Pelodiscus sinensis: one gene and its partners. The protein of the gene in region 3 interacts with the protein of the main gene of each other region in a biochemical or structural test. Links are inferred from orthologs where the notes say so. Each region holds a gene or a part of one and is shown on either strand. Other genes may lie near its edges. The genes, in order: VANGL1, CTNND2, DLG1 and ADGRA2.

What was found.
Region 1: the proteins of DLG1 (region 3) and VANGL1 interact in a test that uses a peptide from one of them, tested with the Homo sapiens proteins (2 studies listed by IntAct, with this or other methods). The link is inferred for Pelodiscus sinensis from reciprocal best matches to the Homo sapiens genes DLG1 and VANGL1.
Region 2: the proteins of DLG1 (region 3) and CTNND2 interact in a test that uses a peptide from one of them, tested with the Homo sapiens proteins (2 studies listed by IntAct, with this or other methods). The link is inferred for Pelodiscus sinensis from reciprocal best matches to the Homo sapiens genes DLG1 and CTNND2.
Region 4: the proteins of DLG1 (region 3) and ADGRA2 form a complex in vitro, tested with the Homo sapiens proteins (2 studies listed by BioGRID and IntAct, with this or other methods). The link is inferred for Pelodiscus sinensis from reciprocal best matches to the Homo sapiens genes DLG1 and ADGRA2.

What each region holds. Positions count from the first base shown.
Region 1 is NC_134711.1:143,780,472-143,787,837, reverse strand, and holds the start of VANGL1 (vang-like protein 1), read left to right. Parts: upstream 1-4,115; 5' UTR 4,116-4,198; intron 4,199-7,366.
Region 2 is NC_134712.1:134,176,716-134,184,992, forward strand, and holds the start of CTNND2 (catenin delta-2), read left to right. Parts: upstream 1-5,266; 5' UTR 5,267-6,208; coding exon 6,209-6,245; intron 6,246-8,277. UniProt on the Homo sapiens protein: Has a critical role in neuronal development, particularly in the formation and/or maintenance of dendritic spines and synapses. Involved in the regulation of Wnt signaling.
Region 3 is NC_134720.1:55,447,163-55,454,916, forward strand, and holds the start of DLG1 (disks large homolog 1), read left to right. Parts: upstream 1-4,738; 5' UTR 4,739-5,154; coding exon 5,155-5,173; intron 5,174-5,627; coding exon 5,628-5,759; intron 5,760-7,754. UniProt on the Homo sapiens protein: Essential multidomain scaffolding protein required for normal development. Recruits channels, receptors and signaling molecules to discrete plasma membrane domains in polarized cells.
Region 4 is NC_134738.1:14,951,983-14,959,330, forward strand, and holds the start of ADGRA2 (adhesion G protein-coupled receptor A2), read left to right. Parts: upstream 1-4,043; 5' UTR 4,044-4,288; coding exon 4,289-4,503; intron 4,504-7,348.

The DNA of each region.
Region 1 (7,366 bases), on a different chromosome or scaffold from region 3:
TTAATACATCCAAGTGTACTGAAGAAGTTGACAAATGTCATTTCAGAGCCTTTGGCTATTATCTTTGAAACTCATGGAGATCGGAAGAGATCCCAGATGATTGGGAAAAGGCAAATATAGTGCCTATCTTTAAAAGAGGGAAGAAGGACAATCCAGGGAACTACAGACCAGTCAGCCTTACCTCTGTCCCTAGAAAAATCATGGAGGGGATCCTCAAGGAATCTATTCTGAAGCACTTGGAAGAGGGGAAAGTGATCAGGAATAGTCAACATGAATTCACCAAGGACAAGTCATGCCTGACCAATCTGATTAGCTTCTACGATGAGGTAACTGGCTTTGTGGATATGGGAAAGTCAGTGGATGTGATATACCTTGACTTTAGCAAAGCTTTTGATATGGTCTTCCACAATATTCTTGCCAGCAAGTTAAGGAAGTATGGATTGGATACATGGACTGTAAAATTGATAGAAAGCTGGCTAGACTGTCGAACCCAACGGGTAGTGATTAACGGCTCAATGTCAGGTTGGCAGCTGGTTTCTAGTGGAGTGCCCCAAGGATTGGTTCTAGGGCCAGTTTTATTCAACATCTTTATTAATGACCTGGATGAGGGGTGGATTTGTATCCTAAGCAAGTTTGTAGATGACATTAAGCTAGGGAGAGAGGTAGATACATTGGAAGGCAGGGATAGGGTCCAGAGTGACCTAGACAGATTAGAGGATTGTGCCAAAAGAAATCTGATGAGGTTCAACAAGAACAAGTGTAGAGTCCTGCACTTGGGACAGAAGAATCCCAAGCATAGTTACAGGCTGGGGACCACCGAACGTTTAAGTAGCAGTTTGGCAGAAAAGGACCTGGGGATTACAGTGGATGAGAAGCTGGATACGAGTCAACAGTGTGCCCTTGTAGCCAAGAAGGCCAATGGAATATTAGGTTGCATTAGAAGGAGCATTACCAGCAGATCTAGGGAAGTGATTATTCCCCTTTATTCAGCTCTGGTGAGGCCACATCTGGAGTATTGTGTCCAGTTGTGGGCCCCCCGCTATAGAAAGGATGTGGTCTCATTGGAGAGGGTCTAGTGGAGGGCAACCAAAATGATTTGGGGGCTGGAGCACATGACCTATGAGGAGAGGCTGAGGGATTTGGGCTTATTTAGTCTGCAGAAGAGATGAGTGAGGGGGGATTTGATAGCAGCCTTCAACTTCCTGAAGGGAGGTTCCACAGAGGATGGAGAGAGGCTGTTCTCAGTAGTGAGGGTTGGCAGAACAAGGAGCAATGATCTCAAGTTACAGTGGGGGAGGACTAGGTTGGATATTGTGAAATAGTTTTTCCTTAGGAGGGTGGTGAAGCACTGGAATGGGTCCCTAGTGAGGTGGTGGAATATCCATCCCTAGAGGTTTTTAAGTCTCCACTTGACAAAGCCCTGGCTGGGTTGATTTAGCTGGGATTGGTCCTGCTTTGGGCAGGGGGCTGGACTTGATGACCTCCTGAGGTCTCTCTCAGATCTATGGCTGTGTCTAGACTGGCAAGTTTTTCTGCAAAATCATCTGCTTTTGTGGAAAAACTTGGCAGCTGTCTACACTGGCCACTTGAATTTCCGCAAAAGCACACACGATCTCATGTAAGATTGTCAGTGCTTTTACGGAAATACTATGCGGCTCCTGTTTGGGCAAAAGCCTTTTTCTGAAAAACTTTTGCGCAAAAGGGCCAGTGTAGACAGCAGAGATTTCTTTTCCCGCAAAAAAGCCCCGATCGCGAAAATGGCGATCGGGGCTTTTTTGCGGAAAAGTGCGTCTAGATTGGCCACGGACGCTTTTCCGCAAAAAGTGCTTTTGCGGAAAAGTGTCCTGCCAATCTAGACGCGCTTTTCCGAAAATGCTTTTAACGGAAAACTTTTCCGTTAAAAGCATTTCCGGAAAATCATGCCAGTGTAGACGTAGCCTCTGATTCTATATATTTCAGATACAACCTGTGGCATTACTCAGGGAAGAGGAGGACAAAAAGGGATGCATATAATCTACCATCCCCCAAATAACATCACAATAATCTTGTGCCCTGTGTTAACATATGACCATGTAGTCTATGCTCTAAAAAATTATTAAAGTGAAAGTATGGCTACAGCACCAGAACTGCGAGAAAACTCTCCCAACACTGTGTAAATCACTTAAATGAGGAGAGTAGCTAACAGTGCTGGGAGCTCAGCCTGTTTACTTGTGCTCAGTAGGGTGTTTTTTCACACCCCTGAGGGACAAAGATTTAGAGAAGTGCCAGTGTAGACATGAGTAGCATATCGTCTTACTTTAAATATAGTCTTATTTTAAATGACAGAATATTTACTAGTAGTTAAAGCACACAGTAGGAAGCCAGGAGATATCGATTCTATTGCTTGCTCTGCCATTGAAAATTCTAGGCTATGTCTACACTGCAGGCTTCTTGCTCAAGAATTTTTTGCACAAGAGTTCTTGCGCAAAAAGGTCTTGCGCGAGAGCGCATCCACACTGCCATGTGCTTTTGCGCAAGAGCATCCATGGCAGTGTGTATGTTCTCTTGCGCAAGAAAGCTCTGATGGCCATTTTAGCCATAGGAGTTTCTGGTGCAAGAAACTCCTGGTTTTGTCCACACTGCCTTCTTGCGCAAGAGCTCTTTTGCAAGAGGGCTTATTCCTTGTGGGGAGAGGAATAACTCTTGCGCAAGAAGCCTTCTCTTCTGATGCTTTACTGTAAATTTACTTGTGTAAGATCACGCATGCAGTGTAGATGCTCTGCAAGTTTTTGCACAAGAACAGCTGTTCTTGCACAAAAAGCCTGCAGTGTAGACGTAGCCCTACAGTCTAAATAAGACAAGACAAAAGGGGGAAACGGAGGCACAGAGCGGTAAAGTGACTTAGATCACAGAGGTCAGTGGCAAAGCCAGGAATATAACACAAGTCTCCTGACTCCCTGTTTAGTGTCCTGTCCACTAGACCACAATGGCTACCCACCAGACTAGGAAGAAGAAGCTAGACAAGGCAAGCAGGGAGAGAGCTCTGCAACTGCAGGGCTTATTTCTTGTCCTTGGTCACTTCCCTCACCCAGAGTTATTCTGTGCAGCCTCTATTGATTTATTGGATTCCTTTAAAGAGCACTGGGTGCTGACTGGACTACAGGTCACTGCAGCCTCCTGGCATGTGTGTCCATAGTGATTAATTGAGCCCTGGGTGGAGAGGGCTGATCTTGTAAGAGGGAATATTGCAAGAGTACTTGAAATGGATGCAATAGAGTGGAGGTGCAAGAGGTTGAGATGGGAGTGAGAGGATTTAGTGTGGGAACTGGGAAGGACTGGTCCTCAAAAAGGTGGGTGGGTGGGGAGGTGTGTGTAGGAGCCGGGTGCTGAATACATGGTGGCAGTGGTGAACGTAACTTCACATTTCTTTTAGGCACTGTCCTACTACAAGCTCGGTCCCTGCCAGCTCTTTCAGTAGCTCCCTGCTGGCTTTTGCCCCAGCTCTTGCCACTGTTAGGCTATGTCTACACTTGCGGCTTCTTGCGCAAGAAAACGTCCACGCTGCCACATGTGCGCTGTGCTTTTGCACAAGAGTGCCCATGGCAGTGTGGACGCTCGCTTGCGCAAGAAAGTTCCAACAGCCATTTTAGCCATAGGGTTTTCTTGCACAAGAAATCCCTGCCGAGTGTCGACACTGCCCTCTTCCGCAAGAGGGCTTACACCTGTTAAAAAAGAGCGTCGCTCTTGCGCAAGAAGCCCTCTCTTACCACGCCGGACTGTACATTTCCTTGTGCAAGAGCGGACTGGCAGTGTAGACGCGCTGCAGATTTTTGGAGTGTAGACATAGCCTTAGAGCGGAGCACTCATGTACTTACACGGCTGGAGGTTGGGATCCCTGCGGGGAGCTTGCAGTAGGTCCCAGTGGGAGAGCGACGAGCGGGGGGGGAGGAGAGGCAGGAGGCTGCGGGGGTGCCAGGTGGCGGCCTCAGCACTGGAGGTGCTTCGGGGAGTGTTGTTGTGGGGGGTGCTGGAGCGGGGTGGGGGTGTCCTTGGCCGCTCACAGCAGATGGGGGGGGGGGGGGGTCTTGCAGGGGGCGGTCCCTGCAGGCGGGGCGGGCTGCAGCGGGCGGGGCGGCGCCGGGCACAGGAAGCGGAAAGCGGCGGGGCTAGCGACTGCAGCGGGGCTGGCGCCGGGAGCAGCATGGAGCGGCCGCGAGAGGTGGGTGCGGGCGGCCCGGCTCCCCCTGCGGCTTCCCCGGGGCCCCACCCTGCACGCGCCCCCCTCCCCTGCCGCCGCCCTGCACGCGCCCCCGGGGCTGCCCCGCCGAGCCGCTCCCTGCGGGGTCCTGCTGCGGCGGCTCGCGCCCCGCTCCCCACGCGCGGGGCAGCATCCCCGGGCACGGAGGCCCTGCCCCCCCCCGCAGTCCCGCACCCCCCAGCCGGGCCTCTTCTGCCCCGCCACGGGCGTGCGCTCTGCCCCCTCTCCCAGGGGCGCCGGCCGGCATGGGCATGGCTCTGGGCTGCGTGCGAGCTCGAGCCTGTGTCTGGTGGCCCCGGGGGCTTCACTCTGGCAGGAGTCTCTCTACCTCCGTTGAATCGGAGTGGGGGGGGACAGGCGCGGGGAGGGGGGGGGCTTGCAAGTCCTAGCTCCCAGCGAGTGCGCTTGTTAGTTCCAGCTCCTGGCTAGTAGGTGCCTGATCCCCGCCCCTTTTGGGCACCCCGCGCACCTCTCCCCCCCCCCCCCCACAGCCTCCTGATTACTGCATGGGTTGCCCAAGCCTCTGTTTTCTTGTTCGTCTGCCTCTGCTGCTCAGAGCGTTCCCATGTGTCAGCATGCATCAGATGAGCGTCTTGTCGTTTGGCACGGCTGCCCAGAGTCCTGGATAAAAGCAATGTGCAGAACTGGGCTCTCGCTAACTTCAGACTATGTGCCGCGGCCCAGGCCCACTGGGGCTTGCCAGCAGACCTGAAAAGACTACAAGATTGCCAGGGAAAGCTTCCCACTCGTGGGAATACATTTGTAAAGCCCCGTGTGGGAAGCAAAGTAATAATGGATTAATAAACAAGTGAATTAAAGCTGAGTTCAGTGCTCCTCAAATATATCTAGTTCCCTGGATGATGTCCATTGAAGTTGTTTAAATTCCAAGTCCTGCGTGTGGGCAACTGTAGGTGTGTGTATAAGACACAATTTGCAAGTAAAGCATAACGTGATTTAGTTATACAGAAGTTGGTTTGATCAGGTGGTCTACTGTGACAATTCATGACTACACAGGCCTGTGTGGTTGCCTGTTCTTAGACCATGGCGATTTAATAACCTTTAGGGAACAGAAATAAGTCTTAACACCCTTCTGCTTCAAAAGCATAGGCCTGCATCTGGGCTGCAGAGGACTGGCACTCCTGTAGTTTTTAGCAACATAGGGTGTGATTGTGTCCCTGCAGAGGACAAAGTTACTACTTTTGTCAGTTTGTTATATCAGTTGTGAACTTTGAATGACCGGAAAAAAAAAAAAGAGAGAGAGAGAATTAATTCCATTGTTTAGAATGTTTACTTAATGGTTCGAAATAACATTCTTGCTCCAAAGGCTGGGCTCTTTAGCTACGTGTTTCCTGAAGATGCCAGTGTCAAGGTATCAGCCCATCTAAGGAGGCCCAACTAACAATTGTACTGAGTGCTAGAATATCAGTTGGGGGAATAGTTTTGATTAGTGGGAGATTTTTTTTTTTTTTTTTTTTTTGCTGTTCGGCTTAGTTATTCTTGCCTCAAAGTTGCTGTGTATTTAACCTTCTAAGAATTTGATTTTAAACAGGCTTGCCTTTTTTCCCCTTTTTGTGGTTTGAATATATAACTGGCTGTGAAGATGGGACCAGTACTGGTCCTACAGGAATTGATTATCTATCTATTTTTAAGATGAACAAATCAGAATTACAGAAAACCTCCCGTTTACAAAAACAAAACAAAAAAACAAAAACAAAACCCCATTTACAAAAAAAAAAAAAAAAAAAACGCCTCCCATTTACCAAAAAATTTTGCAAGTCAAAATTCTGGAATGCTTTCCAGCACACGTTCAGCCACACAGAGAGGTAGCTAACGGCCAATGGCTATCCGCCAGGAACATGAAAGCTATGCAGATACAGAGACTACCTCTAAATTAGTATTCTGCTGCTAAATTGCCATGTTTGCTACTGTTCTTTCACCTCTGCCATTGGTGGGAAGGTTAGTGTAGTCAGGGCTCCAGATAGTGACCAGTATTCTAAGCACCATAACCTCCGACACTGCTCAGAGCATGTTTGCATGAAATAAATTGTCAGAATGCTAGCAGCTGCTAGTGCCTTGTTGATTTAGTTCTCCCAAAAGAAGAGGAAAGGGCTGACAGGGTACTACTGTCAAAGTAATATGTTTGGGAAATAATTCCTTCCTTTCACTTCAGGTTTGCTGTCCCATGGAGATGATTAGAGGGATTTCACACTTCTTTTTGGTGTAAATCCTACCCTTCCTCCATGGTTTTTAAGGCATTACAAAGCCCAGTTCTTTCCCCCAAAAGGATGGGGGAGCTCCTGCAAGAGATCCCAGGTTGTGGAGCCCAACTAGATTGCTCTGTAGGGATTTGAGTTTGGGATTGTAGTTCCACTGACTTCCATCCCCTCCCTTGAAGTGTAAGCAGTGCAAAGGGCCCTACAGGGTAGGGCAGCTCCCCGAAGAGTACAAACAGACCTCTCAATTGTTTTCTAGAGTCTCAGCTTTTATTTGGAAGAACCCCCAAAAGTCTAGCTGTTAGAGAACTTTGAAAACATGACCTTAATATTGCCAATGCAGATTAGTATACCTGCATTTGCCAGGGGCCTGAAACAATGGTTCCGAGATTGAACTGCCCTGTTTGTTTTAATGAACACAAACTCGGAGACCAAGATGCTTTAAATGACAAGTGTTCACTATGTCACTGCTCATGAAAGCATAGCCTTCACAATAGGATATAACACCAGAGTTTCTTAAAGTGTTGGTTGTTGTGGGGGGTCCCCTTCCAAGGGGCCCACAAAAGAGTAGAGGCATGGGGGGCATAGAGGATGTAAAAACTAAGAGGTACAGGCTCAACTTCCAAAAATTTGGAGAAGGCTGCTGTAGCCTTAGAGCTGGAGGAGGAGTCACAAGGAAGCTCTGCTGCTAGCTACAGGTTGCACATCTATAAACTAGAACTCTCTGGTCCAGCAATGCCGGACCACAGATGTCCAGGATCAGAGAGACCTGGTGCACTGTGGAGACATGGGGGACTGATAGCCCAGGGCGACACAAGGGACGTGGGGAGCCTGGTCCATGGCTCAGCCTGGCGGTGGGGGATGAAGGAGCCGGTGCGCAGCTCAGCTGGGTGGGAGGGGAGGTAGGGAACCGAGA
Region 2 (8,277 bases), on a different chromosome or scaffold from region 3:
TATGTTTTTCCTTTTTTTCAGAGCTAGTGGCTGATCGACAACAACTAACCAAAGCAAGGGACTAATCAATGTGGTTAAGGAAAGTATTAAAGATGGAATTTTAAGTGTTCCTAAGGGACCTACATTCACAGTCTTAAATCATTTGGGTTCTTTTGAAAATCTCTAGTCTCTGAAAGGGGAGTTTCAACACAGCTCTTTGTGGGTGGGAAGAGAAACAATTTAAGAAAAATGATTTGATTTGAATCTAGAAGATTGAGCTAGAGAAAACTCTAATTTGTAAAGTGTCACGCAGAAGGACCACACATTTTATATTTGGAGATCCCACTTATCCAAGTTATCTTATTTCTAATGGTCCTCTTCTGTGGTTCTTTCTCTTTGATCCATTAGAAGCAAATGTCCTTCTTCCAATGCTAAAGCCACTTAGCAAATGAGACAGTGTCAAGGTAGAGTTCATATTAAATTCTGATTTTTAATTTTAAAATTGAAAGAGAAAATATATTATTCCCATAATCCCTCACTAGCTAATTAAATAGCAAAAGGGAAATCAAATAAGACAGAAGTGTGAATATGGAAGCAAAATGAAAATACATACCAAAACAAAATCTGAAATGAACGAAAATGTTTGATAGAATCTCTATAGATGGTAAGTCCATGCTCTAATAATAAGCAGGGCTCGACAAATAATACAATCTACTTGCCTGTGGCGAGTAGATTGTAACCTGGAAGAGCCGGGTTTGGGCAAGCTGCACATGCGCAGATCACCAGACAGCGTGGTTGGCGAGCGGGGCTCGCTGCAATTCGGCGAGCCCTGATAATAAGTATATAGCAGCAGGGATATATTACTGACTACCTGACCAGGACCATGTGCTGAGACCAGCAGTTAGAAGCTGTGAGCATCTTAAGGAGGATTTGAAACCTATAACCCTCTGTTTGTTGATCAAGCCTTCAGCAGGGGGTGTGGTTATCAGGAAGGCAGGGCTATATAAAGCGTACTAGTATGCGACCAGGAAGCTAGCAAAGAGGAACAGCTAACAGGGAGTTTGTGAGGAAGTTTAGAGGGGGAGTTTGAAGGGGGCTAGATGCATTCTTTAAAACTTCTTTTAAACTGAACTAAATCTAAACCATCTGATCTAAATCTAAACCATCTGATCTAAATAAAAATCCTATCAATAATCTAATTATTGGCAGGAGAGAATGCAGGCAGAAGTGCAGCACCAGAGTGCGGGTTATCCTGTTTATTGTACCCAATGTAGCATGTATACGTAGGTGGCGTATGTGTACATTCAAAGCAAGGAGCTCCTGGCCCTCAGAGACCATGTACTGACTTTGGAGGCCAGGGTTAGCTGAACTGGAGGAGCTAAGGGACACAGAGAGGTATACAGATGAGGCTTTCTGAGACACCGTAGAACTGTCCCACCTCCGGTCAGACAGCCCCTGTGTTGTTGAGGAGGGTGAAAGTCTCGGGGAAGGAGAACATTCAATTGGAGCAGAGGGAAATAATCTCATAGTTGGGACCCCCCTTCATCTCTGGGGGGAGGGAACTCCAGTCATTAGGATAAGGCAAGTAGTTAGTAATGGGAGATTCAATCATTAGCAACTTAGCTGGGTTTGTGATGACTGAGAGAACCATATGGTGACTTGCCTGTCTGGTATGAAGGTTGTGGATCTCGCGAGATATCTATCTATCTTACGTAAAGTTAGTTGTCATGGGACAACACGGAAGGTCCTTTCATGGACTGATAACTGGTTAAAAGACAGGAAACAAAGGGTAGGTATAAATGGTCAGTTTTCAGAATGGAGATAGGTAATAAGTGGTGTCCCCATGGGTCTGTCCTGGGACCAATCCAATTGAACTCATTTATAAATGATCTAAAGGCGAAAGAGGTAAACAGCGAGGTAGCAAAATTTGCAGATAACGCTAAACTGCTCAAGATAGTTAAGAACAAAGCAGACTGTGAAGAGCTTCAAAAGGATCTCACAAAACTAGGTGATTGAGCAACAAAATGGAAAATGAATTTTAATGTTGATAAATGCAAAGCAATGCACATTGGGAAAATATAATCCCAACTACACATACAAAATGATGAAGACTATTTTAGCTATAACCACTCAAGAGAGTGTTCTTGGACTCATTGTGTATAGTTCTCTGAAAACATCCACCTGTTGTGCAGTGGCAGTCAAAAAGCAAACGTATTGCTAGGAATCATTTTAAAAAGATAGAGAATAAGACAAAGAATATTTTAATGCCTCTATATAAATCCATTGTATGTCCACATCTTAAATACTGTGTACAGATGTGGTCGCTTCTGTCGTGTGGTTTGGCTTTTGGATATGAGAGGAGCCAGTAAAAACACCTCAGATAGACTCTTGTTAACTTTATTATGCACAGAATAGTAAAGGAAAGCAGTGCACAGTTACAGAGATCTATTTCAATACACAGGATAGTTAATACAGACAATAATATAACACCTAGGGCAATACTCAAGATACTTGATATTAAGGATACTTATTTTTATAAATCACACACACATAGTTCCACCGCTAAGACGTTACAATTATCAGATGATTAGATGATTGTCAAATTCTCAGATGATTGTCAGATTCTCAAATGACTGTCAGATGGGAGGTCATGGTCTTGTTGTTTCCCCATGCACAGAGGCGTCCACAATACATTAGTTGGTAGGAACAGGCACAGCTTCCAGTTATAGCGAGTAAGGTAGTGGGGTCCCCTTACCTCTCACCGATTACCTTTTCTACCCTTATTTTATAACAAAGCGAGACTTGACGTGGTCGTTCTAGTGAAATCTCCCAATTAATCATCGATTGTGTATGCCCCTCTTTTGTACACATTCTGCTAATCAAAATACACTATACTTAGCTGATAGTTTTATGGCTGCATCAGTGATTTTATTCATTAGCATTGTTAGGTCCCAGTACTGGGTTACTCCCAATGTTCTTGGCACGGTTTCTCTATACCAATACACACAGCACACTATTGTTTACGCACTCCTGACTTTCAAAGGTCAACCCTTGGCCTGGCCCATGTGCTTTCATGCACGAGGTTCAAATCAGGCCTGGTTTGCCTTATAAGAAGCCTCACTTTGGTCAAGGCAGCCATCGCTAGTCCAGTCCATGAAGGGCCGGACCCCACAGACATTATTATTCTGGTCAAGACGAGGTTGTCCAGGCTCCCTTACAGCTTCATCTCAAAAAAAGATACATTGGCATTGGAAAAGGTTCAGAAAAAGGCAACAGAAATGATTAGGGGTATGGAACAGGTCCCATATGAAGAGAGATTAAAAAGACTAGGACTTTTCATCTTAGAAAAGAGGAGATGATAGAGGTCTATAAAATGACTGGTGTGGAAAAAGTGAATAAGGAAAAATTATTTACTTATTCCCATAATATAAGAACTAGGGGTCACCAAATGAAATTAATAGGTAGCAGAATTAAAACAAAGAGAAGGAAGGTTTTTTTTCCTCAGTGCCTGGTCAACCTGTGGAATTCTTTGCCAAAAGACCAGGAATATAACAGGGTTCAAGAAAGAACTAGATAAATTAATGGAGGTTAAGTCCATCAATACTTATTAGGCAGAATGGATAGGAATAATGTCACTAGCTTCTGTTTGTCAGGGGATGAAATTGGATGACAGAGGGAGATTACTTAGGGTGTGTCTACAAACTAGCCTAAACTCGAAAAAGATACACAATTTGTATTATGCAAATTGCATATCTTATTTCAAATCTATCTTGAAATTGCTTATTTTGAAATTTGGCACCTCTACATAGCGCCAAATTTCAAAATAGCATGCTGTTTCGAGACATCCCTTAACTCTCATGGAACGAGGATTACCAGGATGCCAAAATAGTGTGCCATTTATTTCAAAAAACATTTCAAAATAATTGGCAACTTGTATAGTTGTGGGGTAGCTATTTCACGATATGTCTGGTATCCTGAAATAGCCATCCAGAGTAGACATACCCTTGAGGATTACCTGTTTCTGTTCACTCCCTTTAGGGCATCTGGCATTGGCCACTGTCAGAAGACAAGATAGTGGGCTAAATGGACCTTTGGTCTTACTCGGTATAGACATTCTTATGTTTTGTTCCAAAGAACGAATCATGACATTGGCATCAGGAATTCATGTGAATTAAAAGTAATGATCTGAAATTACAGCTTCTAATCACTTCAAAATATTAATATAGGAAATAACTTTTACTAACATGTTAGTGAAGAATAATGTATGCAGTGTTGTAGCTGTGAGGGTCCCAAATATTAGAGAGACATGGTTGGTGAGACTATCTTTTAGTGGACCAACTTCTGTGAGTGAGATTTTACACAGCACTCTTCTTCTTGCCTGATAATAGGCATGATTTAGTATTGTTTGGAAAAATAGTGGAAATCACCAGGCAAAAGGTGGCAGCAATGAGTCATTCTGAAATCTGATATTGGAGGCATTCATTACAGTCTGCTCAATCTGTATGAAAATATATTTTTTGAAATTCACATCTGCTAAGAAAGTGCTTGCTAATTACAATTTATTGACAGATCGATTAAATGACTTTGTTCTAAAATTAAACTATGTATTTGGATGCCAATCAAGATTTAAAAAAGGAAACAGTTCGTCCCCTCCCTCCAAGTCCTTCTTCTCTCCCCCCCCCTCACCCCACGCCCCCAAACCCAACCCTTTCTTGTCTTAGATACGCAGTTCTCCTTGACTAGAATTCAGGGACTTTAGACCTGTTATCAAATGCAGGCATCACCCCGACAGCTCAGCTGACTACATGGATTTGCTGATGGTTACAGCTGTGCTTAGGTCACTGCTGCTAGGCAGGATCAACATATTTTCCAAACGAGAAAACTTTGCTCCAGAAAATACACGGCAAAGGGGCTGGGCTATAGCTGCAATGGCATTTTCCCTACGTTTCTTCCGCTAGCAAGGAGTTACATCTACATATCTGTCGTGTTTCCTCAACAGCTGTGCTTGTCTGGAAGGAGACACCTGGAAATTGTTTAAGTGGATTTGCCATCTAAGGATGAGTGTAGCGGGGAAGGAGAGCGAGGCACACAGGAGCAGGGGCTGTAAGCAATCGCTCCATTCTTTGCGTTAGTTGACCTGAAGTTTTCATCAGCTCAGCTAAAGCGGGTGTTGGGGAAGGGAGCAGGTGGCAGCGCAGCCCAGCCCAGCCACGCTTCAGCCGCATCTGCTCTCCCATCGGAGGATAACTCAAGGGCATTTCCCACATTCCCCTCGCTGGTCCATGGGCAGCAACCGTATATGAGCGCGGGCATCCTGCGAGCGCATTGTTCCCTGGCCGGGTGTGTCCTGCTTGTCTACACGCACCTGCGCTATTGACTGGCGCCCACTCCAAAGCCCCCGGCCAGCCTCACGTTGCTGGCCGTGGCTTTGCGTTGCTGCGCTTTCTCCCGAAGCCCCCCTTTCAAACAAAGCGGCGTGCACGCCCTGCCTCGGGGGAACGGCATGGAGGGGCGCGTGGAGAAGGGAGGGAAACGGCCCAGCTTCCGTGCGAGGCTGCAAAGAAGAAGGCGGCGGCAGCAGCAGCAGCGGCAGCACTGAGCCCAGCCTGGCCAAGGAGCCCATCTTCCCCCAGCAGCCCGGCTGCTGGCGCTCTCGGCAAGGCGGCGGCGCGCGCCTGCCCGGGACCCGACGGTGTTCGAACGCTGCCCGGGAGGAGCCTCGCGCCCCCACCTCGCCAGGCGCAGGTGGCGGCGGCGGCGGCGGCGTCTCAGTGAGCGAGAGAGCGAGCGCAGCCGCCCACCCCAGCCCGGCTCCTCAGCCGCGCCAGGCGCGCGCTCCTGCCGGAGAGGGGAGGAGAAGGGAGCGCAGCGGCAGCTGTGCCTGTATCGTCTCCAGCCCCAGTCGGCGGCGGCGGATGTGCCCCGCAGCCGCCGCTGCTGCACCCGAGCGCCGCTGCTGAGCCTGGCAGCGCCGCGGAGAAGAGGGGGGGAGGAAAGCCGAGTCTTTGCCTCGCTCGAGCAGGCGGTGGATGTGGAGCCAGCCTCTCCCCTCGCAGCCGCCGCCGCCACCAGGCAGTTGTCCCACGGAGGAGCCCAGCCCCACCGCACAAAGAGAAGGATGCTGCAGCTGGGCAAGGTCAGGACCTTGAATTGAAACCCGGGGGCGCCGCGCGCACCTCCCCCCCCTTTGCCCCCACCGGCTTGAGGATTTGCCTTGGATTCGCTGTGTATGCTTGGGAAAAAGCAGGCAGGGTCGACGCCGTTCGGTGAGTGCAATTGCGATCGTAATGGTGCTCGTGCCTTATTTCTTCCGCTGCTGCTAGCAAGCATTGGCTTGTCGTGCCCACATTGCAAAGGCCCCTCTCCTTTCTAGAAGGCAGCTGTGGCTGGCTCTGGAAACATGGCTTGTGCCTTCCGCGGAGAGGTAACAAAGTGTATTTTTCCTCTGCCGCCCCCCCCCCCCCCCATACGTTAGTCGCCTGCTTATGTAGGGCATCAGCAATACTCGCTTCCCTGCCACCCCGCAATGATATACTCATTACAGCACTGAAGTCATAAATCTATCCTGGGAGGGGGGAATAGACCCTGCTCTGCCATGTAGTCCTGGGCTGTTGTGGTCCATGCCGTGACTCTGTTCCTTGCAGACCGAAATTGAAATACTTAGTCATACGCCCATGTCCGCTTCTTCGGCTTCTTTCCCACGTTGGAAACCCTGAGAGTCTATATTTAGAGCCATCAAATCGTGAGATTTCAGTGCCGCCAGCCGGGTTCTTGGGCATATGTATGGTGACAATAAGTATGGGCTTTTCTGCTTTGGAACCGATGGCTGTGACACATCCGGCTTTGGGGGGGGGGGGTTGGTGGGAGGGAGGAAATCGGCGTGTGATGTGCAAGGTGATACTCGGTTGATCTATAATTAATGGCTGAAAGGAAAGATGCTTTTCTTTTCATTTCCTTACTCTTATTCTGGTGTGTGTAGTGTGCTTGCATCGACTGCTTCAAAGGTAGCCTCAACTGAGTCAAGTCACTATAGAGGAGGTGCGGCAGCACCATAATAGTTGTGTGACAGGGGAAACTGATCTGGCTGGGAATTTTTGGAGGAATAATGCTACGGAAAGATCATTTTTAAAACCGGTCTTAAGTTTTCCCCTGAATATAGGGCTCAGTGGTAGGGATTCAAAACGCGAGAAACAAAACTGAAACGTATGGTCACTCTTGTGTATTTTCTGTTAAATCTTTAAATATTATGACGTGATTTACTCGGGCTTAGGAATTTACTATTGGTCTTAGAGATTAATTTCAACACAGAAACTTTCAGTTGTTTCCTATAAATAGACAGGAGTAGGCTTTATTAAACTGCCAGGTATTCACTCTTCTGAACTGCAACGATTGCATTTGTTTACATAAATCTCAAAACACTGATGTGATTCTTGCTATTGTCAAGAGAAAAAAATATAATTTTAGTTTGTTCCTCATACATCATGTATGTATACTATGCAGAGTCATTCAAAGGTGTTACAAGACACTAGAGGGATTTTCTGTTTTCAAGAAAGAATTGACTTATCCAATACAAACAACTATATAAAAAACATGTAGAACTGTATTTAAACCTACAGAATGTGCCTGTGAGAGACTGAGGGGAAAAACATCTCCTAAATACTCATTTCATACAGTGGAACACTTTAAATGGAAGTCGGGAAAGTTGCCCAGTCTAGGAGGAAGAAAAATTATAGTGATCTACATTCACTACTGAATTTCTCAATTCAGGTAACACACTTAAAACTACTCAGTAAATAGAGCGATTTTACCATAGAGTGAGTTAAGCTTAAACAGGTATGCTGAAGGTATGCCTTATTGGCCTTGACTCTCAAAATTGCTTGAGGGCTTGCACAAATCCTTTTATGTTAGCAGTTTATTTGCAAAAGATTGGGACACCTGTGGCAAATACGCTAAACGTACACATTTTATAAATTCTCAGGTGGTTATTTGAGACCAACACTGTGCAAAGTTTGTGAAACTCTTATTCAGTTGGTAAATGAGTTTATCTTTTCAGAGCTTTGTATGCATACAAGTGTAAATAGGCAAGCTGAAGAGAGAATGTCTAGATAATTATTAACAGAACTTGATCACTGGCCTAAAACTGTTATTTGAGGAGCATGATATGTTGAAAACTTCACTATAGAAACCCAAGATCGCATCTTCAGAGACAGTGTTTGCAATCTGTTATATAAGAGAGGCTTTGAGGGGGGATGGGGAGGGAAGGAAATAAGAGTAGTAGACTATGCTGTGCACAAGCCA
Region 3 (7,754 bases):
TACGGGTGAACCCCCACAGGTTTATGAAGGGGATGGTTTGATGAGATAACATGATCTTGGTAACTAATTGACCATTCATTATCAGTGGGAAATAGGTCAATGGAGGGATGATAGGAATTACTAGAGAACTTTCTGGGTGTCTGGCTGATGAGTCTTGCCCACATGCTCAGGGTTTAGCTGATCGCCATATTTGGGGTCGGGAAGGAATTTTCCTCCAGGATAGATTGGCAGAGGCCCTGGAGGTTTTTCACCTTCCTCTGTAGCATGGGGTACAGATCACAGCTAGAGGATTCTCTGCATCTTGGGGTCTTCAAAGTATTTGAAGGCTTCAATATCTGAGATATAGGTGAGAGGATTATTCTGGGAGGGGTGGGTGAGATTCTGTGGCCTGCACTGTGCAGGGGGTCAGACTAGATGATCATAATGGTCCCTTCTGACCTTAAAGTCTATGAGTCTATGAGTTACGCAGGGAGGTGGTGAATCTCCATCTCTAGGGGCTTTAAGTACTGGCTTGACATATCCCTGTCTGAGATGATTTAGTTGGGGTTGGTTCTCCTTTGAGCAGGGGGTTGGACTTGATGACTCTTCCAACCCTAGGATTCTATATCAGGGATATTAGTGGTACATAAGTCCAATAGCTCTCACTGCAGACAAAGAGCTAATTTCTAGCCTTAGTTATATAATTGCCATTTCCAGCAAGTTCAGTTGGAGTTGCAATCCTGTAACTGGGAGCATAATTCAGCCCCAAATAGTTTTATTCTTATTTGTATGCAAGTGTTGGAATCGAAAGTTTATGATAGAGAATCAGTAAGAGGAGTGCAAAAGCAAAGAATAGCATCAGCAGTTTGGGGCGCTGTTTCTTTGAGGAGAGCAACTGCGGTTCCGACCGACACCGATGGCAGTAGAGAAGGAACTGAAGGGACTGTTGCCGCACATGCGTGGCAGCGACACCATGCGTGCCGCCTGTCCCGTTTGTGCGGCTCACCAGAAGGCACTGCTACTGTAAATCTCCAAGTAGGCGCGCAGTGGCACCTCAAGATAAAGGTGGAGCACCCACCGGGATACTCCTCGAAGAAGTCAGCACTATACAATCTCAATAAACAAATAGTAAAAATCCATAGAAAACCATTGTCAAATGGGTGATATTTTTAGTGGTACTAACCTCAATGTTATTTACTATTTTTGTTAGTGATCATCACATAAATTTAAAATCACTGTTGATTAAATTTACAGATGACGCAAAGCGTGATGAAGTGGTCATGCCAAGCAATTTGGATTGCGTGGGAATCTGCTTTTATTGAAACAAAATGTGTTTTAATACACGCAAAAGTAAGATCATATGTCTGGATGCAATGAATGTTGACCATTTCTATAAAATAGTGGACTGTGTCATGTTAAGTAACTTAGTATCTATGGAAGATAGCCACAAAGCATCCTTAAGAACTGCGTGCAAGCCGTGGCATAGTGTATAGGCCTGGGATGAGACGGTGTGTCAGAAATAGGGTCATAGCACTGCAGAGATTCTTGCCCTATGAGGTGGCTTAACTTAGAGAAGTCCTCAGAGGTATCTAAATTACAGTATCTTCAGCCCCAGAAACAACCCAGAACTGGTGGAAGGGGGCTGCAAAGGTGTGGCTTAGTTAAAGCCACCTCATTCTCTCTCCCTCTGACTGAATTCTGCACTGCACCTCTAAAGGGCACAGCATAGAATTCCACTCGAACCATGCTAATAAAATTTCACTCTTCCTTTCTTGAAGATTTTCTCTTCATGTTCTAGTTACTCCTAGAAACACTGGCATCACTTTACCCTATCAGTCTATTCCTACAGAAGAAATAGAAATGATGGGAACTTAGCAATACTTTCTCAGGTGCAATGTGGTTTGAATAATTGCGTCCTAGTTTGTTGATCCATCATGTTGGCTTTAGCATTGATTTCCCCCCCCCAGCACTATTCATCAGCATCTGTTCTTCCTTTTCCTGCATGCATGTTCCTCCTGGTATTGTAGATTCATAGATTTCAAGGCCAGAAGGGACCAATGTGATCATCTAATCTGACTTCCTATATAACAGAGGTCACAAAGCATCTCCAAAAATTCCTAGAGCAGATGGTTCAGAAAAATATCCAATCTTGATTTAAAAATAGCCAGTGATGGAAAACCCAAGATGTTCTAATAGTGAATTACCATCATTGTTAAAAAGATGACATCTTATTTGCAGTCTGAATGTATCTAGCTTTAATTTAGGAATTGATTGTGTTAAATCTTTGCCTTCTGGATTGAAGAGCTCTGTAGTAAGGAGTGATCCACCCAGTGGGGCAAACTCCACCCATTGATATAGAGTCTACACTCAGAGACAGAGATTCTATTCTGCTTCACGAGTGAAGGGGTGGGGTGCCCCTGGGGTTGTGTATGGACTATAGTTTAATCACTTCCTCACTTGTATCCGGGACAAGGTGGGTTATGTCGATTGCTTGTAAGCCACCTACAGTTCTTGTTACTGCTGTAACCCACTCTTCCGCTGCGGATTGCTTATGTTTATTTTGTACAACTTGTTTGGCTTTCGCACAATAAAACTCTTCTATTACATTTCTAGTCCCCATGTATTAGTAAAAACTCAGAGGGGTGAACACCTTAGAATGGAAGTTGTTTGTGACTCTGAATAACACATGGCACTTTCAAAAGCTTAAAACTGAACATTGACTTTTAATACAACTTTGAAAGTTTGGTATGCAGAAGAAAAATGCTGGTTTTAAGCACCTTATTATATAAACTCTTTCATCAGCCTGTTCATTTACAAGCTGACCTCCTGAGATTGATAAGTAAAAATGGCAAAATACTATGACCCTTTCACAAGCCAATCCTGTATTTCAGGGATTGGCAAACTTTGGTTCCTGGCCCATCAGGATAAGCTGCTGGCATGCTGGGATGTTTTATTTACCTGAAGCATCTGCTGGCAGGGAGCTCATCGGTTAACTGTCTGGAAATGGAGATGGATCATGTGAGGATTACCTGTTGTGTTCCTTCCCTCTGGGGTATTGGCCACTGTGAGCAGATACTGGGCTAGCTGGATCTTTGGTCTGACCCAGTATGGTTGTTCTTATGTTTTTAATTGTTTACACTATCACATCATGAATACCAAAAACAGTGCTGTAAAGCTGTATGAAATTTGACCCATTCATTTTACAAAATGCTGTATCTTACAAGTCAATTACAAAATATGGCACTAGTGTCAGTCTGCTACAGTGTAATTTTGATCTCTTCATGCATGTTGACCACTAGACGTCCTAAGTCTCGAGCCAATCTGAAAATATAATGTGCAGAACTGATGGAATCTATAAAAAAATTTAAATAGCCTATTATTGCCACAGGCATGCTAATCTACAGGGCTGCTTCAGAATTAACAAAGCATGATTATAATTTGACTGTGATTAAGCAGGTGACATTCCCATGTAAAATCTTTAACAAAATTATTTTCTAAGATAGTCATTTATAGTATTTAAAATGAACAATATTGAAATAACACAAAGAGTAGGGATCACCGAATGAAATTACAATAGGAAGTAGGTTTAAAATAAACAAAAGGAAGTACTTCACAAAACACAGCACAGTCAACCTGTGGAGCTCCTTGCCAGAGGATGTCGTGAGGTACAAAACTATAACATGGTTGAAAAAAAAGCTAAGTACATTGATGAAGGTTAGGTCCATTAATGGCTATTAGCCAGCATAGGTAGGAATGGTGTCCCTAGTCACTGTTTGTCAGAAATTGAGAATGGGTATCAGGGGATGGATCACTTGATTACCTGTTGTATTCATTCCCTCTGGAGCATCTGGTATTGGCCACTGTCAGAAGACATTATACTGTGCTAGATGGACCTTTGGACTGACCCAGTGTGGCTGTTGTTGTGATTGCCTAGGAAGTAGCATTACAGAAAACACTCCCAAGCAACTGGTGATCTTCTACCCTGCCTGAAGTGATTCCAGGTAGCCTTTCTTGCACAAGACCGTCCACACAGTGTGGATCTTTTCTCTTGTGCAAAAGCACACGCAGGCTGTGTCTACATTGGCAAGATGCAGTCACTTTTGCACAAAAACTTGCCGCCTGTCTACACTGGCTGTGAGTTCTTCCGCAAGAACACTAACGTTCTAATGTAAGAAATCAGCGCTTCTTGCGCAAGAACTGTGACGCTCCCGCTCAGGAATAAGCCCTCTTGCACAAGTGTTCTTGCGCAAGAGGCCAGTGTAGACAGGCATGAATTGCTTGCACAAGAAAGCCCGCTGGCTAAAATGGCCATTGGAGCTTTCTTGCGCAAGCGAGCATCTACACTGGCATGGATGCTTTTGGGCAAAAGCACATCTCTTGCACAAAGGCACATGCCAGTGTAGACGCTCTCCTGTGCAAATACTTTAACGCAAAAACTCTTGCGCTAAAGGTATTTGCGCAAAGTCTTGCCAATGTAGATGTAGGCGCGGTGCGGCCGTTCTCTTGCGCAACAAGCCTGCAGGGCAGAGTAGTGAGCCAGGTCTGGGTGCCAGGGTGGGGCAGCTGCCCCAGCAGGCCTGCCCCCCATAGCTACTGCCACGCCCCCTGGCGAGAGGCGTGTCCATTGGTTCGGGGCCTCCCACGTGCTCCTGGCCCTGCCGGCTCCCCAGGCCACGGCGCCTTTAAGCGGCCGAGTGCTCACCTTGCCTGCCCCACTAGGTACCAGCCCCGAGCCGAGCTGACTCCTGATTGGGCCGCCGCTGGGCTCGGTCACGTGGGGGCTGCTCTCTCCACAGCCGCTGGGCCGCCATTTTGGCTGGAAAGTTTGGAATTTCCAGCGGAGGCGGCGGGAGGGAGCGCGCGAGCAGCCCCCGCCGCGCGGCAGTGTCGGGCGCGCGAGCCCCGGGCCCCCGGCCGGCTCCCAGGGCGGAGCTGCCTGGCGACGCCCGCCCGAGCTCCGAGGGGGCTGCCCCGCCCCGTCCCGGCCCCGCTCCGGACCCCGGGGTCCGGGTCCGTCCTGCCCTCGAGCGCGGGGCAAGGCCCCTCCGAGCCCGGCAGGAGCGAGCAGCGCGCCCCCCGCCGCTCCGCTCCGGCTGCCGGCCCGTGCCCCGCGCGAAGTTCGGGAGGGCGGCGACAGGGCGCGTCCCGCCCGAGTCCAGCGGCGCGCGGCGCACCATGCCCGTCCGGAAGCAAGGTGAGAGCCGCGCCGCGCGGACCGAAGCGGCGGTTAAACCGCCTCGGTGGGAGAAACCGTCACCCTGCGCGCGCGGCGCGGCCCGGCTTGTGCCGAGAGCGGGGTCAGCCGCGGGGACTCGGCGCCTCCCCCAGTGTCTGCGGAGTTCGCAGCGGGCTGCTTGTTGCTGAGCTCGCTCGGCGGACGAGTCCGCTCGGGGGCGGGTGGCTCTGGAGCTGCAGCGTCGTGTGTCCGTGGGCGCGTAAAACCGCCTTGGAGACACCTGCCTCTTGGGGAAGAACCTGCAGCAGGAGCGGGGAGTCAGGAACTCGTGATGAATTGGGTAGAGTTCTTGAAAGTGGCGTATCGAGCGTGTGATATCAAGAACTACTGTACTGACCACTATTGGGCAGCTGCTATCTCTCCCCTCATGGTGATGTTTAATTCTAACTTTTTGTTTTGTTTTTATTTGCAGATACCCAGCGGGCTCTGTATCTCCTGGAGGAATACCGCTCTAAATTGAGCCAAAATGAGGACAGACAGCTGAGAAACTCCATAGAGCGTGTCATTAATATCTTCCAGAGCAACCTTTTCCAGGCATTGATAGGTAGATGTCTACATTTTTTTTTAAAAAAAAATTTTTTTGTGCAAAATCATCTAAAATTTTTTTTAAAGTAAAAACACTCAGCTTTTCACTTGAGGGTATTAACAAGTGAGGTCTCCAAATACTTGAAAGTCTGAGGGGTAGTCGTGTTAGTTTGTAATTTTTAAAAACAATGAGTAGTCCTGTGGCACCTTAGAGTGCTAATGAGGCTAACTGAGTCAGCTGGAAGTGTCACATACTTCAGTTCTTCTGTTTGCACTTGGCTAGGAAGATGATGTCTGTTTGGATCCCTGTGAATTGTCTTATGCAGTTGATGGATTTCCACTTCAGACAGCTGAATGTAGTGCCTTGCATGTTTAAAATCCACGGAGGGGGAGCCGTGTTAGTCTGCAACTTGAAATACGAGTAGTCATGTGGCACTTTAGAGGCTAACAAAAATATATATATATATGGTAATGAGCTTTAGTGGGCAAAACCCACTTCTTCAGATGAGATTGAGTGGAAGAAAAATGGGGGGGGGGGGATTCAGAATAAGATAGGAGAAGGAGGGGAAAAAAAATTACCTGTCGACTGGAGTCTCAGTGCTATTTGAGTGGGCTGAAAGTGCCCATACTTCTGTTCATCTGTTTGTACTTGGATAGGAAGATATTGTATGGCATCAGCTACTTAAAAATTTATCACCTCAGCATCTTTTTGGAAGCTTTGGGTTTGGGGTGATTATATAGATATACAAAAAGACTTACCAGGAGTTGCGTGGGTCTTTCAGGATAAGGATGTCAATGGGTAACCGATTACTCGCTAAGCATCACGCTTACTGGGACCCTTTGTCTCCCCTCCCACCCCATCCTCTGGCTCTGTGGCCAAGGCCTGGGGGGAGGGGGAGAAGAGTTTAGGGCAGTGGTCACCAACCAGTAGCTCAGGATCTACCAGTAGATCTTGGAGCCTGTAGCGGGGTCAAGCTCTGTCCAGTCCAGCCCAGCTGACCCCCGCCTTCAGTCTCTCTCTCTCTCTCTCTCCCTCTGTGTCCCTGCTGCTGCATGGCGGCCGCTTTACAGTCTCAGCTGGCCCGTTGGCTTGTCCGTTCCCCGCTCTGTTCCTCGGGCTGTCAACAATTGGGCTCGGCCGGCCCATCTGCCGGGGGCTGCGTTGCTCCTGGGCCCCCCCAGAGGCATTCCTTTGCCGCTGGCCCACTCCTCTCTGGTGTCTGCCGTCCCGGGCGCTCGCCGCCCCTCGAGCTCTCCACCTGTGGGAGGTGAGAGCACAGCCAGACCCTGCTCTCCTCCCCCATGCTCCTCCCAGCCCTCCTCCTTTTGGGCGTGTGGCCCGGCGTCCCGCCCCCGCCCCATTGGCGTGCTGGCGTCCCTGGGCTCTAGAGTCTGCCGCTTGCGGCCTGCCCCCTGCTGCGCATGTGCTGCTGGTGCCCCGCTCGCAGAGGCGGCGGCGGCGCCTGTAGGGTTGGGAGCTGCCGGACAGCGGACATAAGTGCGGGGAGCGGTTTCCCCGCCACAGCGCCTCTGACAGGTGATCCTGACTGGTTTGGTCAGGAAGCTATCGCGTGCCAGCAGTTGAACTGCCCTGCCCCTCCACCCTCTGTCATACTGCTCCTGACCTCTGCCTGGGAGCTGCCCCCTGGGAGCCTCCTGCTTGCTGTGCAAGGTGTTGGGTAAAGGGGGGTGCTGATGTCAGAGTGTCCTCCTTCCCCCCCCCCCCGTACCCCATCTCCACACAGAGAGAAGGGAATGGAGGGAGCTTGGCAGTGCAAATCGCTGTAACTCTCACACACTGTGTGTGTGTCTGTCATTTTCACAAACACACTGTCCTTCACTCTCCTCTCCCGACCTAACACATGTGGGAGGTTGTTACTTCTTTTACTGCTTGCAAAGTGGGTTAGTTTTGGATTTTGACTGGTCTGTGCATTTCATCATTTTCATTTCTCATACATTTACATTTAATTCTTTGAGTGGTGAGTTCTAAAGTACCTAATCTTTCACGGCTAGA
Region 4 (7,348 bases), on a different chromosome or scaffold from region 3:
TAACTCGATTTTCACTCTCTCTGCAGCTAGGGCAGTTTTACCATTGAGGCAGGGCAGGAGCCCTAGGTGCAAGGCCCTGCTCTGCCACAGACTCCCCCTGTGACACTGGGCAAGTCCCTTCACCTCCCTGGGAGCCAGGTCTTCAGCTTTGCAGTGGGGGGTGGGAAGGTGAAGCGCTGGACAGATGCGCTGCTGCTAGAGAAAGCCAGAAAGAGCCCTGAATCTCTGGCCATAGGCTGAGTGGGGGGGCTGGCAATCTCCCCACGGCTGGTCCTTGCAGCATGGCAGAGCAGCGAGTGGCTGGAGGCAGCCGGTCTGACAGGAGCCCCCGGCACAGCCCACGTTGCACCTGCGGACAGGCGGAAACGCTCACTGTCCTGCCTAATCGAAGCTGCGAATGCTCCCAGCCGGTTCAAGGCCTTCGCGGCTGCCTGGGCCGAGGGGGGGTCCCGATGGGCTCTCCTGGGGCTGCACATTTCATCGGCGGAGGCGGAAGGAAATTTGTTTATTTCGTGGGGCTCGGAATTCCTCAGCGGAAGCCAGGGTCAGAGGTTTGTACTGGACACACACGAGCCGACCCGGGAGACCCTTCTGCTTTGATTTGAGTCAAAGCCGGGAGGTTTTGCTTTCGAGGCTGGGAGCGGAGAGGGGGCCGCGCCCCGGCCACTCGGGCGGTGGTGATGTTGCAGCATCGGAGAAGTTCCCTCGGCAGGGCGGGGATTCAGGCTGGGTGCTGGTCTGGAAGAGCTCAGCGGGGCTCGCCAACAGCGGAAAGAACCCGGATGCAGCGCTCAGAGCATCTGGCAAACCGTTCTTGGCTAGTGGGGTTGGCCCTGGCTAGTCGCATTGATTCTGGCTTTGGACAAGGGCTGTCCGGTGGCGGGGCTCGCTTTATAGGCAGCTGAAATTCAGAAGAACGGGCGCAGGGGCACGGTTGCTCTGGAGACCACGTCCCGGCTCCAGGGGCGGGAGAAGCTGCCAGCCCCTTTCAACCGCTGGCTCCAACACGTGGCCCTCCGAGAGGAAAGGCCGGGCGTGCCTCCGTGCCAGGCTGGCTCTGGCTCCCAGCAAGGGTGGGTGTGGGTTAGTGCAGGCAGCCTCCTCCCCCTCCCGGCTCCCCGGAGGAGAGAAATGGGTCAGTAAGGCGATGCAGCATAAATGGGTGGGACAGAGCCTCGTTCTGACTGGCCAGGCCACCCACCAAACCCGGGGCAGTGCATACACTGCGCCTCTTTGTGTGAGTGGCCTCAATTTCCTCGGGGAGATCCGTATGAGGCCATTTCCCTGGGAGAGACCTTGCAACTGGGCCCTAATTGCTGGCTGCGTGAGGACGGACACGATCAGGCTGGCTTTTCCAGACACTAATTAATCCCTTCATCCAAGTCTTTGCCTGCTTCGGGATCTGTCGTTCTGTGCTCCCGAGTTGTCTCCTCAAATGGGTGGCAGGAAGCACGGGGCACCGTAAGGCCGGGTCGAACCTGCAGCGCTATTTCCAGACACCAGAAGTAGCCCCCAAAAGGCTATCCTGCGTCCTTAGAGCGCGCCTGTCATTTCGAAATGCAACGGGCTCGCTTTCCGACATCCCCGTAAACCTCCTTCCACCAGGAGCAAGGGCCGTTCCGGAGCAGCGGGTTCTGTGGACGTGAGCGCTGTGTAGGCAGCGTCAAATTTCGAAATAACCGCACCACAGGTCGAAATAAGAGACGCAATCTGAGCAATATGCGAGTCTGGTGTATTTCGAAATAGCAGGCACGTGCAAAAGACACGGACTCGCCATGCGGGGATACCTCCGGTGTCCGGAACTAGCGCTGCGGGGCCGGCGTAGCGCAGTCCCTGGTTTTCTGCTGTGGGTGGTGGTGTTCAAGCTCCAGGGTCCCTTCTAATCAGGTCACAAAGAAACCCAATTCCTTCCTTCTGCTACCAGCAAGGAGTCAGCGCGAAGGAGCTTTCCCCTCCAGGCCTGGATCCTCCAGAAGCGGCTCTTGGTTTTGTCTGGGCCTCTCCCAGTCAGTTTCCTGGAGGCAGCCCCGAGAGGCTGCAATTGAGGGCTCCCCTGCGTGGATCTGGCTCTCGCTTGCAGCTGTTTCGAATAGACACTGACACGGAGATTGGGGGACACTCCCAGAAATGGTGCAAATCTGCTTGCCAGGCCCCAGGAGCTGAGTCCCCGGCAGGCCCAGTTTCGGTTGCTTCCTGGGGTGGGTGGAGGGGTGCTAGGGAAGTTCAATGCTCCCCCTAGGCTCAGTGAGATCACAGCTCTTCTGTGCTTTGAGCCTTCATGGCGAAACCTTAAAAGCAGATTATGGGCACTGGGCCTACACTGGTATCTCCGTCCGCATGCAGGCCCTGCTCCACGGCCTGCTTCTCGAGGGGCCATGGAGCCAGCCGCCTCTCCCAGCACGTGGGTGTGTAACTAGACCCCAGCCCTGACGTGGGACAAGCAGGGCAAGGTACCAGCTGGATAAGGCGGGGTGGGAAGCCAGGCAGGAGGGGGTGGGGGTGGCTGCCTTCTGGGACTTGGGGCTGTGGCTGGCAGATGCCCCAGGATGGTGAAATAGCCAACCAAGGGAGATTGCCTGAATCTTTGGTGCCACCTTCACACTCCAGCCTCAGTGGCAACTCAACCCACACCTGGCCCCAGAAGGCTGCACCAGCACCGATTTGTGGCCTATTGGCTCAACTCTTGTGTCTCCCTGGGAGATGGGTGGGCTTCAAGAACGGCCACACGGGGTCAGACCAAAGGTCCATTCAGCCCAGTGTCCTGTCTGCCCACAGTGGCCAATGCCAGGTGCCCCAGAGGGAGTGAACAAAACAGGGAATCATCAAGTGATCCCTCCCATCACCCATTCTCAGCTTCTGGCAAACAGAGACTCGGGACACCCTTCCTGCCCAGCCTGGCTAATCAGTATTGATGGACCGAACCTCCAGGAATTTATCTAGTTCTTTTTTGAACCCTGTTCAAGTCCTGGTCTTCCCCACATCCTCTGGCAGGGAGTTCCACAGGTTGACTGCGCGCTGCGTGAAGAAAAACGTCCAATGTGTGGCCAGAGATTTAAACCCTGGCCCTTCAGGTTCAAAGTCTGATGCTCATCCCCTGCCCTGCCAAGAGGTGGGTTCTGTGGTTTCCTGTCTCTAATCGTAGCCTCCATCAAATGCTCCAGGATGGACAAGCTGCCCGGGCCCAGTGGTGGCTCAGAGTCTGAGCCCTCCCCAGATTTTGCAAATGCAGATGCAGGAGGCCCCCTCCCAAGGAAAACTTGTCCTGGTCCCAGCTGGGAGCCAGGCCCAGCAGCCATGGCCTGGGAAGCAGGAGGCCACCTGTGCCCACTCCTGGCTTGGGACTCGGAGCTGGGGCAGGGCTGCGTCCTCCAGGAGCTCAGCACAAGGTGTGGGGGGGGGGGAAGGGCCCCTGTGCCCCCCTACGGAGCCTCCCTCCAGAAGCACTGGCCGGGACTTGGGGGTAAGAGTCCAGGAGGCCGGGCGCCATGGCTAAGTGGGTGCAAGGAGCCTGGAGATTGGGAAGGAGGCGGGGGGGGGCACTGGTGCGGACGGGGGATGCCTGAACCCCAGGGGTTTGGAGCAGGCAGGCTGGGTGCCAAGAGGGAGGCTGCGTTGGAGAGGAGGTCAGGTGCCCCGGGGGGAGGCCGCCTGCCCTAAGCCGGTCAGAGGGGAGGCTGGGCGCCCCGAGCGAGGCGCGGGAGGCTGGGCTCCAAGGGGGAGTGTAGGGGTTCGGGGAGAGCGCGGGGCTCGGACCCAGTGGCTGGGGAGCTGGTGCACAAGGGGGAGCTTATGAGTCCCAGCGGGCTGGAGGGGAAGCTGGGTGCCCCAGGGGAGCTCAGGGGGCAGGAGAGGACGTCGGGGGGTGCCCGGGGGGAGCTGGCGTGGAGGCCGGAGTTGGCCCCGAGGGGAGCGCGCGGGACTCGGGGAGCTGGCGGAGCTCGGCGGCTCCTGTGCGGGGGAGTCGGAGGCAGGAGCGGGGAGGCGCTAGGGCCCCGCAGCCGGGCCTGGCTGAGCAGGGGAGGGACCCGGGCGGCAGGCGCCGCAGAGCCGCTAGGTCCCGTCCCGAGCGCAGCGGCCGGACCCGTCCCCGCTGCCGGCCCGGCGCGCCCGAGATGCCGCGGGGCGCAGCGGCGCGGGGCAGGGGGGAGCCGCGGGGCGCGGCCGGGGCGTGAGGCCGGCGAGCCCGGGGAGGAGCCGGGTCCCTGCATGGCTGCGCCCGGCCCCCGGCTCTAGGGCGCCCGCTGCGCCCGGACCCTCCGTGCGCCCCAGCCCCGACGCGCCCGGCAGGATGCGCTGGGCGGCCGGGCTGCTCTGCCTGGCCGCCTGGCTGGGCGCGGGGGGAGCCCGCAGCTGCCCCGCGCAGCCCCCCGGCTGCAAGTGCGCGGGGGAGCGGCCCAAGGGGCTGGGCCCGCCCGGCGCGGCCCGCAGGAGGCTGGTCTGCAGTAGCCAGGAGCTCCGGGAGCCGCCCGACCCGCGCCTGGTGCCCAACGCCACCGTCACCCTGTGAGTAGCGAGCGCCCGCTCCCCAGCGCCCCTGCCAGCCGCGCACCCGGAGCGAGCCGCCTCTGCCTCCCCATCCCGCCCCGCAGCGCGCACCCTGGGTCCCCTGCGCACCCGGAACGACCCCCCCACACGCAGCGTGCCCCCTTCTCTGCCTGCCTCCTAATGCCTCCCGTGGGTCCCCTGCCGGTTCCCTGCGCTCCCAGGATGACCCCCCCACACACACACCCAGCGTCCCCGCCCTCTGCCAACCCCCCAGCGCCCACCACGTCCCTGACAGCTACCGGTCGCTCCTGCCTGCCCTTGCACCCGCAGCGCCCCCTCTGCCCCAGAGCCCCTGCCCCGATTCCCCCTGCCTGCCCCTTACACACCCAGACCGACTGGCCCCCAGGGTCCCCGCCCCTCCCCGTGTGGGAACTCCGCAACCTGAGCCCGAGGGGACGGCGTGGAACGTCGGCTGTGTGTGGAGGGCTGTACGGCGGCGCCCCTTCCAAGCCACATAACGAGGGGCCAGGCCCTGCCTGGAGGAGGGAGCGGGCTGGGCGTCCAGGTGTGTGACTGGGAAGACCTGGCGGACTGCTTGCCGGAGTGGCTAGGAGCCCTGCCATGGCCCTCCTTGCCAGGCTGCAGGGGAGCCTGCCCACAGAGGCCTTGTCCACCCCAGATTCCTTGCTCAGAATCTCCCTCCCAGCAGTTCGGCTCAGGGTGACCGTGGGAGCTGGTGCTCTCTGCGTTCTGCTGCCTTGAGGTCTGGGTGCTCCCCTAGGGGCAGCGTGCACCAGTGGGGAGCGCATATTCGAGCAGCCAGGGCCCGGGCGGCCGTACCTCGCCCAGCTGGGACATGTCACATGGCGCCATGGAGGGAGGCCAGAAAATGGTCCAGCAGTGACTCTGGCTTCCGCTGTGTTTTGGTTCTTCCGAGCTCTCGGTGCCCACGCTGTGCCCCATCTCGTAGCCTGGGCTCAGGCCAGTAGCGCCACTGACTTTATTGCGTCCAGTTCTGGGGGCCCTATTCCAGGAAGGACGTGGACGCATTGGAGAGGGGCCAGCGGAGGGCGACCAAAATGCTGAGGGGGCTGGAGCACATGACCTACGAGGAGAGGCCGAGGGATTTGGGTTTGTTTAGTCTGCAGAAGAGCAGAGCGAGGGGGGATTTGAGAGCAGCCTGCAACTCCCCGAAGGGGGGTTCCAGAGAGGATGGAGAGAGGCTGTTCTCAGCGCTGGCGGAACAGGAGCAATGGGCTCAAGTTGCAGTGGGGGAGGGCTAGATTGGATATTAGGAAAAGCTAGGAAAGGGGGGAAGCTAGGGAGGGGCAGAATCTCCATCCTTAGAGGTTTTTAAGACCGGGCTTGACCAAGCCCTGTCTGGGCTGATTGAGTCGGGGTTGGTCCTGCTTTGGGCAGGGGGCTGGACTTGATGACTCCTGAGGGCTCTTTCTGTCATTCTGTGCACCCCTGGCCAGAATCAGCCTGAGCCCTGTTCCTACCAGGTCAGCGTTAAGAAGAATGAAAGTGGCTAACAAGGCGAGGCCTCTTTCTGGCCCCATTTGAGAGCCCACTGAAAGCCAGTGGAAAGAGGCTGGTTGATTTCAGCAGGCCTTGAATCCTGCTGGGTCTTGTTTCCTGTGTACTCTATTGGCAAAGTTCCTCAGGCCTACTTGGCCTGAAAATCAGAGAAATCAGTTTCACTTTGGTTTACCGTCAATTTCATTTCCACGGTTTCCTTTGGCAATCTCTGGCGCTTTACACAGAGAGCTTTTGTTTGAAAACAACGGTTTCTCCTGGAAATCATAACAGCGCGCATGTTTCTTAAAATAACTCCCTCCCCCCACCTCAGTCTGATTTTGGCAGCGTAAAGTTGGGATATTTCTAAAAGTTTCACTGTCTTTTCATCGCAGCGCTTGGTTTTTGGTGTGTTTTGTAAGCACACAAGAGGTCTCATAGTTGAAACGTTTCTTCAAAGTCCTTGGAACCTCCACGCCATCGTTCAAGGCAATGCTAATGATACTTTACGCTCATCCTGCCGAGGTTTTTGCGCATGCTTAGCCATACGTGCAGGAAGCAGGGTTCACCCGGACTGCCCACTGGGACTGGGATGTTAAGCATGTGTGTGAATCCTGCAAAGACTTAGGCCTGTGCTCCATTTTACACATTGTGACTTGTCTTACTGGAATCCCAGAGACTGCGGGTGTAAAGTCAAGCGTGTGGAGAAGTGTTTGTAGGTCAGGACGTGTTTTCCATGCTCCAGCACACAGGCGGGGGTGGGGGGAAGCAATTTTTTAAAAGCCGAGCAATGTTCTTGTTCTGGGTGTTAACTCTGGTTCGGATTTACTCTTGGATCCCGTTTATTTCGGAGCTGCTAGTAGTTAGTGGCATGGTGCGTGTTGGGTGGTTTTGATTCCAAAAGAAGGGACTTTGTTTTTAAAGCCGTGACGTGTTCATGCAGTGGCTGATTGGCTTGTTCAAGTGCAGAGGAAGTGGGGTCACGGTGTCCTTGTGCCTGACACGTTTGGGGTTCTGTTCACTAACGTACCTTGATTCCCCCCGGCCCTGGTTTAGCCTGTGTGCTAGAACAGCAGCCCTCTCGGCTAAGATTGTCGAAAGTGAGCAGTGATTTCGTGTGCCTGGCTTGTATCGCTTTGAAACCGTCTGCTTCTCAGAGGGTGGGTGCACAGTGCTTTGTGAAAATCACGAGTCCCAGCAAAATCAAACGTACAGATTCTCTAGTCCTGTTGGATAGTCGTGGCTTGTGTGTGTGCGTGCGTGCGCACACACAGTTGAGCATGTAGATATAGAGAGAATATAACCTATTTTGGCAACATGAAAAATCTTCCCACAAAGATGCCAC